Arabidopsis thaliana: one gene and its partners. The protein of the gene in region 1 interacts with the protein of each later gene in a pairwise test. Each region holds a gene or a part of one and is shown in the gene's direction. Other genes may lie near its edges.

Region 1 (3,527 bases):
AAGGATGCCAACAGACACAATGCCCAAGATAACGCTGCCCAAGAATATAAAGTTGGTCTGTTCCATAAGGTCCTCAATCATCTTGTCCTTGGTCATCTCTGATCTGCAAAGATTATTCATAAAGATTTATATATGAACAGCAAATAGAGCCTTTCTGCAACAATGGACTAAATCTTGTCAAATGATCAACAGATTGAGAAAACATAAAGAAGAAGATGAAGTAATAATTTGAGCTAGAACGCAGGCAGATATATAAGAACGAAAAATATTCAGATAAAATCTCACAAGAAATAAGGAAGATCTTGGCACGATTTGATTTCAGGAACTCCATTATTAAAACTGTAGATGCCAACAGCTGTTATATCTTTCCCAGGTGGTAAAATCTTCTCTATATCAAGCAGACCAACCTTGGAAGAGAAAGGATTACAAAGTTAGCCAAGAACAAGTAACCATCAGTTCCTCAAAACCAGAAATTTCTTTGAATATATATATACTCACAGGATAATCGGGGTACAAAAAGGCTTGAAGAAACGAAGAATTAATAGGCTGCAAGCGATTATACACAGTGGTAAGCGGAAGAGGTTGCCTTGAGCCATCCATGTTAACAGCGACAAAACTAGAGTTCGATTGCTGATCCTTTCCAACAATGACAAATGGGACCTGCACAAAGCAAAGGATACACAAAACAAGTTTGATCATGGATACAGAGCCAAAGTTGAAAGCTCTGAAGCTGATAGAGAGACTTTACCGTTCTCGTAAAATCAGCACCGTGTTTGCGCAATGATCTCTCCAACATAAACCGGTGACCAGTGGACTGAAACAATCTCTTCCATCCACTATACACATACTGTCAACAACAAAATGATGACATTAGAAACATACATTTCCCTTCTGAGATCACACCAGTACCAACTTACATAATCCTAACTTAATCAATCACAATGAACACCTAATCATGAAGAAATCATCCAAACTCTTTAACCTAAGCCTTTGATAAGAACACAAAGCAAAATTAGGTCAATGTCAATTGCAATTTGAGGGAAACATAAACACTTAGGGTTTAGAGCAACGTACAGTTTGCGTTCTCTGAATGATAAGAGCTTTATCTCCAGTCTCCGGAGAGATTAACACGTTGTTGTTCTTGTAACCCTCATCACCGGAAATTTTCGGTTTGACGACTCCGCGAACCACAACGATTCGCTGATCATTGCTCTTCCTGTTATCGTTAGTCTCTGATTTGTCTTCAGAAGCCGGAAGCAGTGATCGGAGGTCGGAAATGGAGACTTCGGGTGCATCTTTGATCTTCTTCAACGCGGCGTTGGTAGAAGCATACTTGAGAGCAGAACCGACGGCGCTAACAGCTAAAGTCAGTCCGAGGATTGCGCCGTCGAAGGAGAGAGCGATGTCCGTCAATAGATTCAAGAGAGCACGCTCCGGCGAGGACATTGTGGTAATTTCGATTTCAACGTCGTAGACACGGTCACACGGACAAGTAAACGGAAGAGAAATGAGGCTATTATCGGTATTTAATATTATACATTCGACCGTCGTTCTAATTTGGGTCTTTAATGGGCCTATGCACGAGTGAAATACAAAATACTAGTAATAAATAGCGTTTTAGTTAAATTACATTTACACCCTCAACGTTACAGCAGATTTACAAACCAAAACCATAAATATCAGATCTAGAGTGGCAGAGATTAGTATTTCCCGATTCCTCGCCGCCGTTCATCAATCTCTCCGTCGTGTTTCTGCCACTAGCTCTCCACCAAACTTTCTCTCTCGCATTAGGTATTTATCGCCTCTTTATGGCATATAATCTTGTGTTTTGGAACTTATTGATGAAGCTAGGTTAGAATCTCCTTTGTCTTTCTTATCTCCGATTCGTGAAGCTCTAATTCTTATTTATTCGATTTATGTAATGTGTTGCTGTTACACGATGTTTGCTTGTGAGATTCGATTGAAACTTGTGTTGTTGCAACATCAATTCTGTATAAGAAAGGTTCTTAATTTGACTCTGTAGCTTTACTTTTTTTTTAGTTGTTTAGGGATAAACATGGCAGGAGAAGGTGAAGAAGATGTACCTAGAGATGCTAAGATTGTGAAATCTCTGCTTAAGTCGATGGGTGTAGAAGACTACGAGCCTCGTGTGATACATCAGTTTCTGGAGTTATGGTACCGGTATGTGGTCGAAGTGTTGACAGATGCTCAGGTTTACTCAGAGCATGCTAGCAAACCCAACATTGACTGTGATGATGTGAAGCTCGCTATTCAATCCAAAGTTAATTTCAGCTTCTCACAGCCTCCTCCAAGAGAGGTATGCATTGTTGACGATTCCATGTTTCTTCTTCTTCATTGTCTGAGAAGAGATGCGATATGATCGGTCATTTGGTATATGTGAATCATTAGGGAATTATCACTCTTACTTATGACTTATGAACTGTGTGTGACCCTCTTGCCTCATAAATTGTATCACTGAGAACCTCAAGTTTTTGTCTGTCACATCCATGCCTTTTGGTTCCTGAATCTTGAAGTTTCTGTTTTTGATGTTTGATTTAGGTTCTGCTTGAGCTTGCTGCAAGTAGGAACAAGATACCTCTGCCAAAATCGATAGCAGGACCCGGTGTTCCACTCCCACCTGAACAGGACACATTGCTGAGCCCAAATTATCAGCTCGTGATACCGAAGAAGTCGGTTTCAACAGAACCTGAAGAAACCGAGGACGATGAAGAAATGACAGATCCTGGACAGTCCTCTCAAGAACAACAACAGCAGCAACAACAAACCTCAGACCTTCCAAGCCAAACTCCTCAAAGGGTCTCTTTCCCACTCTCTAGACGACCCAAATAAGTACCCAAATAAGTAGATAGACCAAAAAATCTATAATATTTATGTATCAACAAGTAGAAATGTAACACAATCAAAAATTAATGACCAGAGCCAGTTTTTATGGACCAGATCCAGATGTGTGGTTTGAAGATTTAGAATGTAAGAGAATCAAATATTAATGACCAGAGTCAGTTTTTTAGAACATATAGGCATATCTTATATACACTGTTGTGTGGGAATCAACAATACCGAAGGTACAACAAATCTTCTGAAGCATTATACTATATATGCAACTATAGTATATATACATGAACAAAGGTAATTAAGAGAATCAGTTAGCTTCCCCAGCCAACCATGGTACCAGTAGCTGCACGGTGAGGCCGTGAAAACGCAAGCCCTCGATCATACATCCGCTGAATTTCCTCTCTGTATTCAGTCAGAGACTTGTCAGGTATGGCTGGAGTCAGCTCCACCACATCTCCCATCTTCAGCTTGCATTTCAGATCACTTACAGGTGTCTGGTTAAGTCTTGGCCTTAGCTCTTCCTTTGCCGGGATGCTGTACATTGACCATCTCGAGCTCCCTGGTCCTGCTCTGCGTAACAGGTCCGACACGGTAGAATTCTCGGGAAACTCTTGCACAGTCATCTGCATTTTCGGGTTTATCAAATTATAACTCCAAGCAAAGAAACATCCTCA
Region 2 (7,846 bases), on another chromosome or scaffold:
ATCACAGACCGGCCAATACATAAGTCCATTTTTCAATGTTGGCAGAAGATCTCTCTTCAATCTCGCCACAATTTCCTCAGAATTTTCGCCTTAAAAAGGACCAACAACGTGCCAGAACCAATCTCATAATGAGCACCATAAATTTACAGGCAGAGAAACCGTAAAAAGCTAAATCCGTTCAATCCATAGAGGTTTGATTATGTTATGTACCTTGTAAAGCAGCATTGTAGGAATAGAAGACTGTGTTGCTAACAGGTCCGAAAAGAACCTGCCCCATCATTATTTTCTTAAAGGTTGTCAACACGTCGCGCTTTGGCAATATCTTCGAAAGATAACTGAACCACAGATGCTGAGACGGCCCGAGAAATATCAACCCAAAGCTCGCCATTCTCGCTGTTCTTATCAAGTCAAAAGAACCAGTTGGCTCCATTGTGATCATCTGTTGAAGAATTTAGAGAGTCAACACAAATAAAACAAAACAAAAGGTTCTCTAGTTTCGCTCTAACATATTACTGGGGGAAGAGCACCACAACATGATCATAAAAAGACTCAAAAGAGAAATCCACTAATGACAAGAAGAAAAACAGAGTTTACAAGAACCCCAACACACACACCTAAAGCTTTTTTCACCTTAGCAATAAGTATTCACAAGAGATAATAACAAGAAGATTAGACTATTCGGATTGGAGTGTGAGTTTTCTGAGTAATCAAACCAATACTAAATTCATCCATTATTCAGTACAGAAAGACTTCAAATTCACAAGAGTACAATATACAGATTCAGTAAACACTGTAAGTACAGTCTCACACATCAAAGAACAACAGTTGAGAACACAGACTAAACCAAAAATATGAGAATAACAATTCATTAAAAAACACCAACTTTTAGTGCTATCTCCACCTATTCTTTACTAAAGTATTATAACTTCTTCCACTAGTAAGATTATGATCTAGTTTCAAATCAAATTTGGAATTGTCTTGGTATAATAACAAATGAAGATTAGTCTTTTCTTCCTAAATCAAGAGATAAAATTCAAAACTTTAACAAAATTCTCTAATTAGTAATGAAATGAGAAAGAACCCTAAATTCCAAAAACTACAAAGATTCAAAAAAAAACCTGAGAAGTGAGATCTGCAGCCATATAGATGACAGAAGTAGTGATACTCTTAGTCATAAAAGGATGTGATTCGAGCTTTCTCAAATACCATCGTAGAAACGCAGGTTGTTTCGAAGAAGAAGACGAAGCCTTCGTCGTTAGATTTCGCGACACGGAGAAAACACGAGGGATTACGAAATTCCCAGTTTTGCGTAGCTCGTGAATCGATCGGCCGGAGAATCCGAGAATCGGTTTCCGACCGGTGAACACTGTTTTCAAGAGAGCATTGTTGATCCCGTGAAGAGAGCGACGATCGGAGAAGAAACGTTTGCTCAATCCAACGATATTCATCTTCTTTTTTCGCCGATGCTTCGTTAATGGCGGCAGCTTACACTGTACTTTTGATGTATCTCTCTCTCTGTACCAGAACTTTTAGTCTCAATACACGCAAACAACAAACAGTGCTTAACCAAAACCAATAAACGACATAAAGTTTGATATATCTCTCCACGCAATAAAGCAAACGACAGCGTTTTTCGTATTCCATTAAACGTCATGCAGTTTTTAAAAGAACACCAATAAACAACATGAGGTTACTCATCCATAACAAACGGTATCGTTTTTTTTCGATCAAAATTAAAAACGACATACAGTGCTAAAACAAAGCTAATAAACGACATGAGGTTAGTTTAGGACTAATCTTATAACATCTGTTTCCTATTAATTCATCTACGCCGAGAGCTCTCTTTCTCTCTTTGCCTTCCCCAGCTATTTCAATGGATCCTTCAATTTTCAAGCTCCTTGAAGAAGATGAGGTTAGGTTTCTAATCTCACTCGTTTCAAAATCCAATTTTGTGTGATGTATCTGGAATCGTCTTCGTGGTTTTTGATTCCGGTCGAATTGTATTATTTTAGGATGAATCGATGCATTCAGGAGCTGACGTAGACGCGTTCCAAGCTGCTCTGAATCGTGATATTGAAGGTTCTATGACAACTTCAATACCCCACGTGACAAACCCAGGTTTGGTTTCTCTACAAATTCGCTCTTAAATTTTATGTCTGAGATTTTAATTTTTGTGGTACTATTAGTTAATATAAAGATAGTATCTTTTGGTTTTATCTTGGATTGGCTGCTTTGGGAAGCTTTGACATGTTAGCAAAGTTGTGCTTGTTTTTAATATATACAGTTTTCTCAGATAGGTTATTACTCTTGGAACATGGATAACTTAAGAAGATGCCTTGGTTAGGCTATATTGTAAACCTTGCTAATCTAGTGACATGTTTGGAAGTTTCAGTCCTGTATTAAAGCAATAGTTAAGGTCATGAAATATTAGTTTGTTAGGGTTTCTGTATGTTAATATCGGGATAAGCTTTGTCATTGCCAATATAGCCTGTACTAGTTGATTGTTGAGTCATTAAAATTGATCAGTGTGATGGGATTTATTAGCCAGGGTAGACATAGGTTGGTGATGCTGATACTATTTTAGTGTTAGGCTTTGTTCTTGGTTCACTGCAATCTTGACGATGATTACGTGTCTCCTTAAATCATTATTTTCTGTCTCTGGTGCTGGAAGTGATCTCTTTCCTCTGACTACACCATTAAATATTGAAATACAAATAGGTTGTGATTTGTGGATAGGTGTATGAGAGCTACTGAGTATGCATTTTGTGTGCATAATCTGCTACAACAAAATCCTGTCTTTTGTCCTTTTTTGGGTATTATATGATTTTTCCTCCAGTTTAACTTGTGATTTGAGTATCATCAACCAATTGCTTCTATTATTTTTATAGGAAACAACCATTCTTCCAGGCAGCAGTTTTCGACATGGAAGAATGGTATTGGAGATTCTAATATCAATGTCCAGACTCAGCATAGCCTTGAAAGTACTCAGATGAAGGAGCAAGAAGGATCGACTTTAGAAAATCAACATCAACATGATTTGAAACGCGCAAATGAACCTCATTTACAACACAACCAGCCTCAAGACCTTCATCGAGCTGGTCAACTCTGGGAGAATCCCTCGCAGGTCCCCCAATCAACTGGGTTACCGATTAGTGAAAAGAATCCTACTGGTAATGAATCAGATAGATCCCATAATCAAGAGAGTGAATCTCAGTATATGAAACTGCAAAAGATGAGTAGTCAACAGGCTCGGGGAGTGGAACCGCCTGTTAACCCTATGAATGTTAACCCTATAAACCGCAACCCTAAGCAAGTACCATTTGCTGCTTTGCTTCCTACTTTAATGAACCAACTCGATAAAGATAGAGCACTGCAGCTCCGTACCCTATATGCTAGACTTAAGGTATGTCTATCTGTGAAATCATTTGACATTCTGTTCCAAAGCTATTGTATTATCATTTCTTTCCTTCTGCTACTTTTTTTTGCAGAAAAATGAAATCCCCAAAGAGGGGTTCACACGACATATGAAAGATATTGTGGGCGATCAGATGCTCAGGATGGCAGTTAGTAAACTCCAGCAGGTATTACCATTTTGCATATATTGTGCCATGTTGTGACTAAAACCAGACAACCAACCTAGGGTATTAGTTTGTAAGTGGAATCATGTTGGAATTGTTTGTCTAAAAGTTCTGCTTGCTAGTGCTTTACATTTTTACTCTTTTTTTACATTTGCTCTTTGAATTTAGCTGGATCAAAAGACTATTGTTTTTTATTAGCTTGAATGCACATAGAATGGTCTGACATGAAGTAGAACTGTTGATAAGTCAAATGATGTTTAGAATATATATTTTAGCTTCATAAATTAGATACAACATATTGAATTAGGGAAAAACTCTTTATTTTCCTCTATTTTGATCACTACCAAAAAGTCGAGATTTACTTTCTTACAGAATACCAATCTTAGCAGATTATTATTCCTTTCCAAAGGTTATCAGACTTATGCCTGGGATGATCTAATCATATGAGTTTACTGACTTGCGTTTGTCCCACATTTACATGTTAAAACGGTGCTAAATTTATACGTCCAGCGTTTGTGGTCAATGTCTGCAGAGTAGGACTAGTTCAAGTACACCAACTGATACGATTTAATCTTATTTCCCATTATAATTATAATAAGATACGAAAAGTTTAGTCCAATTCTAATTAGAATTTCTATTTTCTTTCCCTTTTTCGTTTGGGAGTTATCTTTTCCTATATATAAGGTTGAAGCTCTTTATCTTTGTCCGAGGGAACCAAAGTTATTCTCTTTGTTCTGTTTTCTACTATTTTAATGAAGGTTTTGCTTTTTGAACTGGGTTCTTAATTCCAACTAAAATTGTGCTAACCGTTGAAGCATTTGAAATTGGGTATAGATTCTTATTTATTTGTAATTTGTGCTCATTGTTTTCAGGTGAACTATAACCAGGGAAAAATTGGAATTCAAGCTCCTTCTACTGGTATAAATTATTCACTAATGCATTCTTTTTTATTTTTCTTTCACCATTATCATAAAAGCTTCTATACTCTCCATAGATATATCTTATTACTTCCATGCAGGAGCCAATATCTTACCTGATTAAATCTATTCATTCGCAGAAATCAATAATCAAAAATCTCAGTCTGATCCTCGTGCAGTCCATCTTAACCAACTACCGTCCTCAGCTTCAGGCACCTTAGGCAGTTCAGTTCCGGTACAGGGACTTACCAAACATCCGCAGCACCAGATGCAGCATCCACCAAGTTCTTTTCCTATGTATACCACTTCTGGTAGTTTTCATTCATTCCCGGGTCCAAACACCAATGCTTCTGGTTCCACGTTGAGACCTCACCTTCATGATTCCCATATGAGACATGTGGCACATAACCAGCCTATGGGATCAACTGGTCTTGGAGGACCGCCCCAGTCTACCACAAACATGATGACTATGCCCAAGTTTGAGAGGCCAAGTTCTGTAAATGATCCGAGTAGGGTTCAGGGTGGCGCTACATCGCACTTCCAGAACAGCTCATCATTGCCTCTAAATTCTGCACCTGGTCAAGGATCATCAGTGTCCCACGTAAAGCAGGAATCAGTTGATCAAAGTTTTGAAAAGAATAATGCAGCCTCAATGACTTCGAATGAGGACTTAGAGAAGGAGTCCTCTAGAATGGTTTTATCCACGCCTAACAACATGGCGCCTGCAAGCTCTGTTTCTCCTTCCATGACAACTCAACTAGACGCCAGCACAACTGTAAGAGATCTATTAATATATAGTTTTCTCATTATAAAAGTCAGTCTCCACTGTTCTTGTTTGCCTCTTCTCTTTGAGCTGCTGGGGCAACTATGGCGCTTCAAAAGCCCTTGCATATTTTCCGTGTTATGTCCGACAACCTGGACATCTATTGTTTTTCCTTGTTTTGGGTTTTATAATTTCTACTATAAACAGTAAATAGGAAAAGTTTCAATTGGACATCATTAACATTGTTTGTGTATCCATCAGATGAATTCTCGTGGCCCATTGGGAACCTCTCAAGGAGGAGCTAATGCTAGGATGCCACCCAAAAAGCCTTCTGTTGGTCAGAAAAAACCTCTTGAGACATTAGGTTCTTCACCTCCACCACCAAGGTAATTGATCTGCTCAGGCTTAGAAACAGGGAACAGTTTTTTAAGTCACTCTTTCTTCGTTAATAATAGACTTCTGATGTATGGATTTTTAAGTGTAAACCACTTTTCTTTTCGAGTCCCCAAGTAATATAAAATCATAATCGTTTTGCATGGATCAACTTGCAGCAAGAAGCAAAAAGTAGCAGGGAATTCTATGGATCAAAGTATTGAACAGCTCAATGATGTCACTGCAGTCAGTGGTGTTAATCTCAGGGTGCGTTTCCTGGTAGCTTCAGTTTTCAATTTTAATCTGGATGTAGATTACTGAAGTAAATCATTTTTTGTCTGCATTTGATTTAGGAAGAGGAAGAACAATTATTTTCTGGGGCCAAGGAAGATGGTCGTGTTTCCGAAGCATCTCGGAGAGTTGTGCACGAAGAAGAAGAAAGATTAATCTTGCAGAAGAATCCTCTGCAAAGAAAGCTGGCGGAAATTAGTTGGGATACTTCCCATATCTTCTTCTATTTTAATTTCTAGTTATTGAATCACTTGGAGACGAAGCTTACATATGCTTTTCTTATCTGGCAGTGGCTAAAGCCGGGTTAAAGCAGATAAGCAATGATGTCGAACGGTGCTTATCTTTGGTGAGATGTCAACTTCGTGTGCATTGTTTGCATACAATACTTGAGCTTCTTTTTCCCCTTTTCTCATGTATTTGCTTTCAGTGTGTGGAGGAAAGGATGCGAGGACTATTATCCCATATAATTCGGTTGTCAAAGCAGGTCAGTCTAACTTTCTCTTACTACCTGGTTCAACATTGTTTGATAAATTCTGTCTGAAGCTAAAAATGCTTCTTCAGCGGGTTGATGCTGAGAAATCTAGGCACCGGACTTTTATCACATCAGATATTCGGCTACAAATCAACGAAATGAATCAGAAGGTGAAGGAAGAATGGGAGAAGAAACAGGCTGAAGCAGAAAAGCTTAAGAAACCGAGTGAGGTCTGTTCTGAGCTCATTATCTATGTTCTTATGTTTACTACAACACACAGACATTGCAAATTTCATCTTTTTGCTGCAGAGTGAAGAAGGTGATGGTGGAGTTGACAGTGAGAAGGATAAAGAAGATAATCGTTCAAAGGGTGTGAAGGTATGGAGAAATTAATAATACATTTGTGGAAATTAATAATACCGTTGCAGTGTTCTTACAAAAGTGGTTTCGACATGTGAAGGGAAATAAAGAGGATGACGACAAAATGAGAACGACAGCTGCAAATGTTGCTGCTCGTGCTGCTGTCGGAGGAGATGATGCGTTCTTAAAATGGCAATTAATGGCTGAAGCTCGTCAGAAATCTGTATCTGAAGCTGGTAAAGATGGGAATCAGAAAACTACTTCAGGTGGAGGAAAGAACTCCAAAGATAGACAAGATGGTGGACGACGGTTTTCTGGTACTGGTGAGTCCATCCTTTTTAACTTGTTTCCCCTAGCAAAGCCGATGAACAAACCGATAAACCCTCCTTGAAAGCATGAAATGCTGCTAGTGTTAGGAAATGCTAAGAATCTAGCTGTGGTGTGGGGATTGTCTATCGAGTTAGTTCCTCACGGTTTTGGTTTGCGATGATGAGCTTTGGATTCTTGTTTGCAGGTGGTCGAAGAGTAGGGAAAAACCAAGGTTCGTCGCTTCAACCGAAAGTGGTGAGGACAATCTCTGTGAAGGATGTGGTTGCGGTCCTCGAAAGAGAGCCACAGATGTCCAAATCCACTCTGATGTATCGATTAATTCAATAGAAAGAAGAATCATTATATTTATAAGCTTCTGATGATAATTTAATCGTCAAGGCCCCAAGTCATTTATTTTTATACCATTGTGATTTGTTTCTGTTATGTTCATTGTTTTTTCATGGCCATTTCAACTCAAACGTCAATTTACAACACATCTTCTAGTGACTCATATCTCAATACTTTGCATCCAATGCAAAATTGAAAGACAAAAGTACTCTTTGTTAAATCATATACAGTATGTATCACACCGTCTAGTTAGCGACTGGACCCATCAAATAAATAATCACAAATTATTAATATGGTTGCTATAACTTCATTACTCTTATTGATATTTCTTGTAAATAGATGATAAAAATATTGTGTTTAGTCCAAATAATACACGCAAACTCGAGAAATTTGTCTACACTAAACCATATTATTCAAGTAAAAGAATGAGTAAAGA
Region 3 (6,856 bases), about 19 Mb from region 1:
CAACAAGGAAACATCTTTCTCAGAAGCTAGCGACCTTGGATTGGAAGGTGGAAGAGCAGAATGAGACATCTAAAATGATCTTAAGTGATGTAAGGAACCCGTTTTATTTCTCACTTTCTTGTATTGATGCCTTATTTTTTCCTTAGACTTAAGATTAGGATACTTATACATTCGTCTGAGAGAGATCTCCTCTTGTACATTTAACATCTTAGAAGAATTTAAAACACATTTAGGAATTCCAAAAGATTGTAGAGTATTTATTTATTAACGTCCTATCTCTTTGGCCCTGAACTGTTTTTCTTCACATGTACAGTAGAGTCCTTTGTTTCTTTCAAATTACAGCTTGATTCTCATATCTGCGATTTACTCCATCTATGCCTTTCTTTGATATTCATTTTAATGCTAATGCTCACATGGAATCTTGCTTCAATTCAGGTTACTGAGATGAGATCAAGCATTTCGCAAATTGGGTTTGATTTTAAGCAACTTAATGAAATGATTTCTGGAATAGTAAGTCTCATCATTGCCCTCTAATATGCATCATTGCCCTCTAATATGCATATTTTAAAGGGGCTAATATATCTTTACTCTCTTATATGAAATTTTTACAGGAAGGGAAGATTGAAAGTCTTGAAAGCAAACAAGTAATTTGTCTACAACCATTAGATACTACAAACCACTTCACGCTATCAATTTTCTTAAAACTAATTGATCTCAAACAGATATTTTTTTTGTTAAAATTTTAGGATGTGACCCTCTCTGGACTATGGCATCTATGTCAAGTTGCAGGCGTTAAAGACAGCACAAGTACTAAAGTATTTCAGGTGAGTGTTAACTTACAAATTAAGTGAAACGTTTTCTTACTTATTTTTCACGTAGTTATAGGCCTTAATGAAAAAAATCTTGTTTCTGGCTTTGTGGTTTAGGATGTTGGTGAGAGATTACCTATTGATGGAAAACCATCCACTAATACTTCTCTCTCTGTAAGAATGCTACTATACCTTTTTCCATCATATAAATGTGCATTTCCATTCTGTTGACGCAAAAAAGTTGCTTATAGTGAAAAAATTCAACGAGATGGTTGATCTTGAATTTGCATATATTCAAGGCAATCTCTCATCAAGCTTATTCGAATAAAAATTGGAACCTGAAAATACTTGTGGTAGTAGCTGTTATTTGATGATTTCATGTCATGATGTTTCTTTGGCTTTCTAAAACTATAAAACTATGGAAACTCCAGGGTCTGCGGTTTCTGACGGAAGGCAAAGAGGATGCAAATGTAATACACAAGCCGGTTATGGCGAAAGAAATTATGGTGATGGGGGAAAAAACAAAAGTCACTGCAGCGGGAAGAAGCAGAGTTCATAGAGCGTTTCCAGGTGGAATATCTTGGGTACGGGATGTTTCAGGACTATCCTAATATTATTTTGGTTGATATACAAAGAAATTGCTTGTATTCGTCCCAAATTCTGATACTGGGACTGGCAATTATTTTTTCATGTAAAAAGAAGAAAAATCTACATATGTTATTGCATCCACCAACAATTTGGTTTGCCCCTAATTATATTTGGTCTTGATGTTTGTAAAGAAAGAGTGTGATTAAGGCTTTCACGTATGTTGATGTCTTCATTGATTTGGACTTTTGTGCTCCTTTTTCCTTTTGTGTTTGGATCAATTTTGTTTGTGTAGAAAATAGAAAGAACTACCACAGAAGACAGAACTACTGTCTTGAAACATTTGTTTCGTCCTTTCTCGTAGGATTAATTGTCTTTAGTTGGCAGAGAAATAAAATATTTCGCTCTTATTGGGCCTTGGCCCAAAATAGATATAGAGACAGCCCAAATTTAATTTAACCCGAAATAGTCCAACCGGGTGAATTTGACAGCAATTAAAAAACCCGGCCCGGCTTCTTATATTAACAAGAGGCTTGGCATCGGTTAATCGGAGCTTCTTTCCTCTCAAGTGAAGTGTCTGGATCTTCGTCGCTCAACGCAAATCCCTCTCCGGTTCATGTAAATTTCCAACTTATTTTTGTGCTCGAATTTTGGTTAACGGGACAAATTTCACACTTTTACGGAGTATGGAAGCAGCCTTTGTCTTCTGGGCTGTTGAATTGCGATTCATTGTGTATGCCCAACAATGGTTTAATTGGGAGGTTCCAATGATTTTTTGTGCTTTTTTCTTACTTAATATAACCACTGTTGATGTTTCTTCTGTGTCCTTGTATCGCCACAGTGGATAAGCAGCCTGGGGAAGATGAGCATTGTACCTAAGGAAACGGTTGAGGTAATAGCTCAAAGTATTGGGATTACCAACTTGTTACCTGAAGCTGCTCTTATGCTTGCTCCTGATGTTGAGTATCGTGTCCGAGAGATCATGCAGGTTACCTTCTTTTTCTAATCATGTCTTTGTGTTCTTGAGGTGAGTTTTCTGGTATCAGCATATTGATCTTTCTGTACCTTCTCTTTGGATGTCCTTTCAGGAAGCTATCAAATGCATGCGTCACTCAAAGAGAACGACTTTAACAGCTTCGGATGTAGATGGTGCTCTCAACTTAAGGAACGTTGAGGTACAAACTCGATGACCTATTTCTTACTTCCCATTATCTAGAGTTTTGGTTGTGTAAGCTTCCTGGTTTTTGTAGTTGAGTGACAAAGATATATGGTTTCTAGTTTTGAGGTTTGGCTTTACTGGTGCATATGAATAACACCATCTGTTACACATTGCTTTCACATATTTCACTATTGTAGTCAACTGAATCAAAGGCATCTTTTTGAGAGTGATTATATCTATTGCAGCCGATATATGGATTTGCCTCAGGAGGGCCATTTCGTTTTAGAAAAGCTATTGGACATCGCGATTTGTTCTACACTGATGACAGAGAAGTGGATTTCAAAGATGTAAGATGTTGGAAAAGCTGGCATGTTTTTTTTGTTTCAGTTAAATTCTTCATTTTGGGTTCCTTATGTTTTCAAGAAATGTCATGATTCTAGGTGATCGAAGCCCCGCTGCCAAAAGCTCCCCTTGATACTGAAATTGTTTGTCACTGGCTGGCTATTGAAGGAGTGCAACCAGCTATACCAGAAAATGCTCCTTTAGAAGGTTTGTCTCTCAATCTTATGCCCTGGGCTAGAGTTGTAAAGTCATTATATGAATTTTTCAACATGAAACAAATATTAGTATGTACAATGACGTTTCAGAGGTGTATAAACCTCTTTCTACAGTTACCCCGTGTTAAGTGGTGAGCTTACTGATGTTACTGAAAGATCAAAATACATATTTTCAGATCCATCTGTATTATTGTTTTGCGGATCCGCATGAGCAAGAAATCCTTGTTCTTTCCTATCTTGACTATATTTTTCACTTGTTTGTGTTGTCTCTAGTCATTAGAGCACCTGCAGAAACCAAAATCCATGAACAAAAAGACGGACCTCTTATTGACGTTAGGCTACCAGTGAAGCATGTACTATCTAGGGAACTTCAGGTATATGGTGCAGTCTAAATATCATAGGGTAATATCCTTACATACATAGGACTTATCTGTTGTTCTCTCTTCACAGTTATACTTCCAAAAGATTGCTGAACTTGCAATGAGCAAGTCAAATCCTCCTCTGTATAAAGAAGCATTAGTGAGCTTGGCCTCAGACTCAGGACTTCATCCTCTAGTTCCATATTTTACAAATTTCATTGCTGATGAGGTAACATTATGCACCACCGAGGAACTAGTGTGAACCAATAAGACCCACGTTAAGTTTTTGCAGTTTTAATTTTCTCCACTTGTGCAGGTTTCAAATGGCTTAAATGACTTCCGACTCCTGTTTAATCTAATGCACATTGTTAGAAGTCTTCTACAGAATCCTCACATACACATAGAACCTTATGTAAGTTTTCTCTGGATTATCTTTTGCCACTATCTAAAAAATTGTAGAATCATGTAGCTCCATTTTCTTTAGGCTTCTGATTTGGGTTTCTTCAAGTTCTATATTAGACATATTCTATATAATGGGTATCAAATGGTTAGTGGTAGTGTTTGTCCGAGGTCTGCAAGCTCGAGTGCTTAAGTACTCTCAGTCTGCTTGAAATAACAACAAGTTTTGCCTTTGATCTGTATTGAGATTATGTAAACCAGCCTTGGGATAATGAGTTGGTTGTTTGAGCAATGTTTCATAACCATGAAGCTGAGTGAACTTTTTCTTTTGGTGCCAGCTGCACCAGTTGATGCCATCTGTTGTAACATGCCTTGTATCAAGAAAGCTTGGAAATAGATTTGCTGACAACCACTGGGAACTCAGAGATTTTGCGGCAAATCTGGTTTCACTGATATGTAAAAGGTTCATTATTTCCCTTTCATGTCATGAACTCTGTGTTTGTTTTGGTTGATTGTGGGGATCTATACATGATTTCTTACTGGAGCTAATAATGAAATTCTATAAGGAAATATCATGAGATGATTATCCATAGATGTTCTGCTAAGTTTATCTTGTTTGATCTCTTTACTATTGATATCTACTTCTTTTTTGCTCGAGCTGAAAAACAAATGGTTAGATCTATATTAACAACAATTAGTAATAACTTGCTATAGTCTTCTTCATTATTTAAAAGGGTACATTGTCTCGCACTTTTATTTTACATATCTCACCTTTATATTCTTTTAGCATCTGAAATCCTGTGATTTTAATAAAATCTTGCAGGTATGGAACCGTTTATATAACTCTTCAGTCTCGTCTTACCAGAACTTTAGTCAATGCACTGCTGGACCCAAAGAAGGCTTTGACTCAGCACTATGGTGCGATTCAAGGATTAGCAGCTTTGGGGCACACTGTTGTAAGTCATTCCTTGACCTTTCAGAAAGTTTGTGCATGCTATTTCAGATATCACCGAGAAATAATGTTACCCAGCTTGTCCTTCAATCTAGGGACTTTTCAGAATCTGAGATACAATTTGATTTGCCCATACCATTTTTCCGGGTTTGCTTATTCATTTTATTGGGAAATTAGGACTTTTATCGTCTTAAACGGCTACTCCAGTGAATCAGATACCCCTGCTACCAAAAACTTTAGCACAGCTATCCTGCATTGTTATCTGTTGTCATCTGAATGTCATATATTGTGTAGGTACGCCTTCTTATTCTATCAAATCTCGAACCATATCTAAGTCTTCTCGAACCTGAATTGAATGCTGAGAAGCAAAAAAATCAGATGAAGATCTACGAAGCTTGGCGTGTATATGGAGCCTTGCTGGTTAGTAAACACATCCTTGTAAAATTTCATCTTTGTAGAATTCTCAGTGGACAATCCTTAGATGGACTTGCCCCCTTTTTCTTTTCAGCGTGCTGCAGGCTTGTGTATACATGGCCGGCTTAAAATCTTCCCACCTTTACCATCTCCGTCACCAAGTTTTCTCCATAAGGGAAAGGGAAAGGGAAAGATAATCAGTACTGATCCCCACAAGCGGAAGCTGAGTGTAGATTCTTCAGAAAACCAATCACCGCAGAAAAGATTGATAACCATGGATGGGCCAGATGGTGTACATTCACAAGATCAATCTGGCTCAGCTCCAATGCAAGTAGATAATCCAGTGGAAAATGACAATCCGCCACAAAACTCTGTTCAGCCATCCTCATCAGAACAAGCCTCTGATGCTAACGAATCTGAAAGCAGAAATGGAAAGGTGAAAGAAAGCGGCAGGAGTCGGGCTATTACCATGAAAGCAATCCTTGATCAGATATGGAAAGATGATCTTGATTCCGGACGGCTATTGGTGAAACTGCACGAACTCTATGGTGATAGGATTCTTCCCTTTATCCCTTCTACAGAGATGTCAGTATTCCTCTAACCAATAAGAGGTGAGCTATTCTATTCCCCAACTTCCTGATATTTACCTCATCGATATAAAACTCATGGTTCCAGTCGTGAATGCAATAAATATGTGAAATCAAAAGAATAATGATACTCAATACATTAATGCTAATGAAATAGATGTTTGATGATTTTCAAGCAGAGAAGGAGGCTTGGAGAGATTAAAGCGCCGTCTGGTTGGCATACATAAACTCATTTAGATCCGTGCCATTGTTCTCAGGTCAACTCTTTAGTTCTTCTTTTTAAGCTTGAGGGATTTCAAAGTCCTTAGGAGCCTGCAGAGTGGGTTGAGTTGAATTGAACCGGTTGCAATGTATATATTAAGAGAATTTTAATGATTCCGTAGTGGACTTATTTGTTTACTCTCAAATGTAATCCATGAAATAATTTCTCTTCAAATCTGTATGATCTAGATTGCAATTTTTGATATTGTTGTTTACATGTATGCTCTCTTGCTTATTTACTCTTTACATATAATATCCGTTCATAGATTATATCTATTGTTGATCCTTCTGGTCCGTTGCTAGAAAACTTTTGGGCAAACTACAAGGTTTGGTCTGTATTACATTGACTATAAAGAAGATCTGAAAGACAACAAGATTAATTTATGAGGATCTATAGGAGGATAAGACTGAACAAAAGTTTCGGAGACATTCTTAAGTTAACTATCTTGTATGTAAACAATCAAGTTTGCTACAAACCACAGAACAGCCTAGTAATCTGGTTTACTACAAAAGAAATACCTGTTGATCAAAGCCCAGACCGAAAACTTATGACCATCAGTGCTGTGGCTTATTGCATTCCAGTAAAAGCTTTGGCTATTACCAAGTATAGCTAATGTGCTCGAACAAGAGAGCTTCAGGCATGAACATAATCCTCAAAAATGTTTCACAGAGAGTAATTCCTTTTTGCCAGAACAAGACTATGACCATCATTCGACGATTTCCCCTTCTTCTAAATCTAGTCCATCAGCGATGAAATCAGTATCTAAATTTTGG

What was found.
Region 2: the proteins of TAFII21 (region 1) and TAF4 interact in a two-hybrid assay, tested with the Arabidopsis thaliana proteins (one study listed by BioGRID).
Region 3: the proteins of TAFII21 (region 1) and TAFII59 interact in a two-hybrid assay, tested with the Arabidopsis thaliana proteins (one study listed by BioGRID).

What each region holds. Positions count from the first base shown.
Region 1 is NC_003070.9:20,213,399-20,216,925, reverse strand, and holds TAFII21 (TATA binding protein associated factor 21kDa subunit), read left to right. Parts: upstream 1-1,660; 5' UTR 1,661-1,791; intron 1,792-2,040; 5' UTR 2,041-2,056; coding exon 2,057-2,317; intron 2,318-2,559; coding exon 2,560-2,850; 3' UTR 2,851-3,027; downstream 3,028-3,527. Other genes in the region: SPL2 (E3 Ubiquitin ligase family protein), read right to left, coding at 1-103, 286-407, 499-660, 749-847, 1,075-1,446; RSH3 (RELA/SPOT homolog 3), read right to left, coding at 3,165-3,476.
Region 2 is NC_003076.8:17,315,172-17,323,017, reverse strand, and holds TAF4 (TBP-associated factor 4), read left to right. Parts: upstream 1-1,832; 5' UTR 1,833-1,873; coding exon 1,874-1,912; intron 1,913-2,012; coding exon 2,013-2,118; intron 2,119-2,888; coding exon 2,889-3,403; intron 3,404-3,488; coding exon 3,489-3,581; intron 3,582-4,450; coding exon 4,451-4,496; intron 4,497-4,635; coding exon 4,636-5,270; intron 5,271-5,519; coding exon 5,520-5,644; intron 5,645-5,809; coding exon 5,810-5,897; intron 5,898-5,983; coding exon 5,984-6,119; intron 6,120-6,211; coding exon 6,212-6,267; intron 6,268-6,348; coding exon 6,349-6,405; intron 6,406-6,482; coding exon 6,483-6,623; intron 6,624-6,702; coding exon 6,703-6,771; intron 6,772-6,853; coding exon 6,854-7,076; coding exon of another isoform or gene 7,077-7,144; exon of another isoform or gene 7,145-7,180; coding exon 7,181-7,410; 3' UTR 7,411-7,557; downstream 7,558-7,846. Other genes in the region: AT5G43140 (Peroxisomal membrane 22 kDa (Mpv17/PMP22) family protein), read right to left, coding at 1-89, 211-439, 1,119-1,448.
Region 3 is NC_003070.9:1,402,585-1,409,440, reverse strand, and holds TAFII59 (TATA BOX ASSOCIATED FACTOR II 59), read left to right. Parts: upstream 1-1,909; 5' UTR 1,910-2,012; exon of another isoform or gene 2,013-2,235; 5' UTR 2,236-2,256; coding exon 2,257-2,382; intron 2,383-2,482; coding exon 2,483-2,569; intron 2,570-2,798; coding exon 2,799-2,900; intron 2,901-2,993; coding exon 2,994-3,102; intron 3,103-3,383; coding exon 3,384-3,484; intron 3,485-3,560; coding exon 3,561-3,698; intron 3,699-3,785; coding exon 3,786-3,881; intron 3,882-4,206; coding exon 4,207-4,331; intron 4,332-4,691; coding exon 4,692-4,824; intron 4,825-5,114; coding exon 5,115-5,240; intron 5,241-5,328; coding exon 5,329-5,835; 3' UTR 5,836-5,845; intron 5,846-6,000; 3' UTR 6,001-6,356; downstream 6,357-6,856. Other genes in the region: AT1G04960 (golgin family A protein (DUF1664)), read left to right, coding at 1-89, 436-510, 612-644, 747-824, 927-983, 1,241-1,420; AT1G04945 (HIT-type Zinc finger family protein), read right to left, coding at 6,790-6,856. UniProt on the Arabidopsis thaliana protein: TAFs are components of the transcription factor IID (TFIID) complex that is essential for mediating regulation of RNA polymerase transcription. Required for proper pollen function. May stabilize the interaction of TFIID with selected promoters.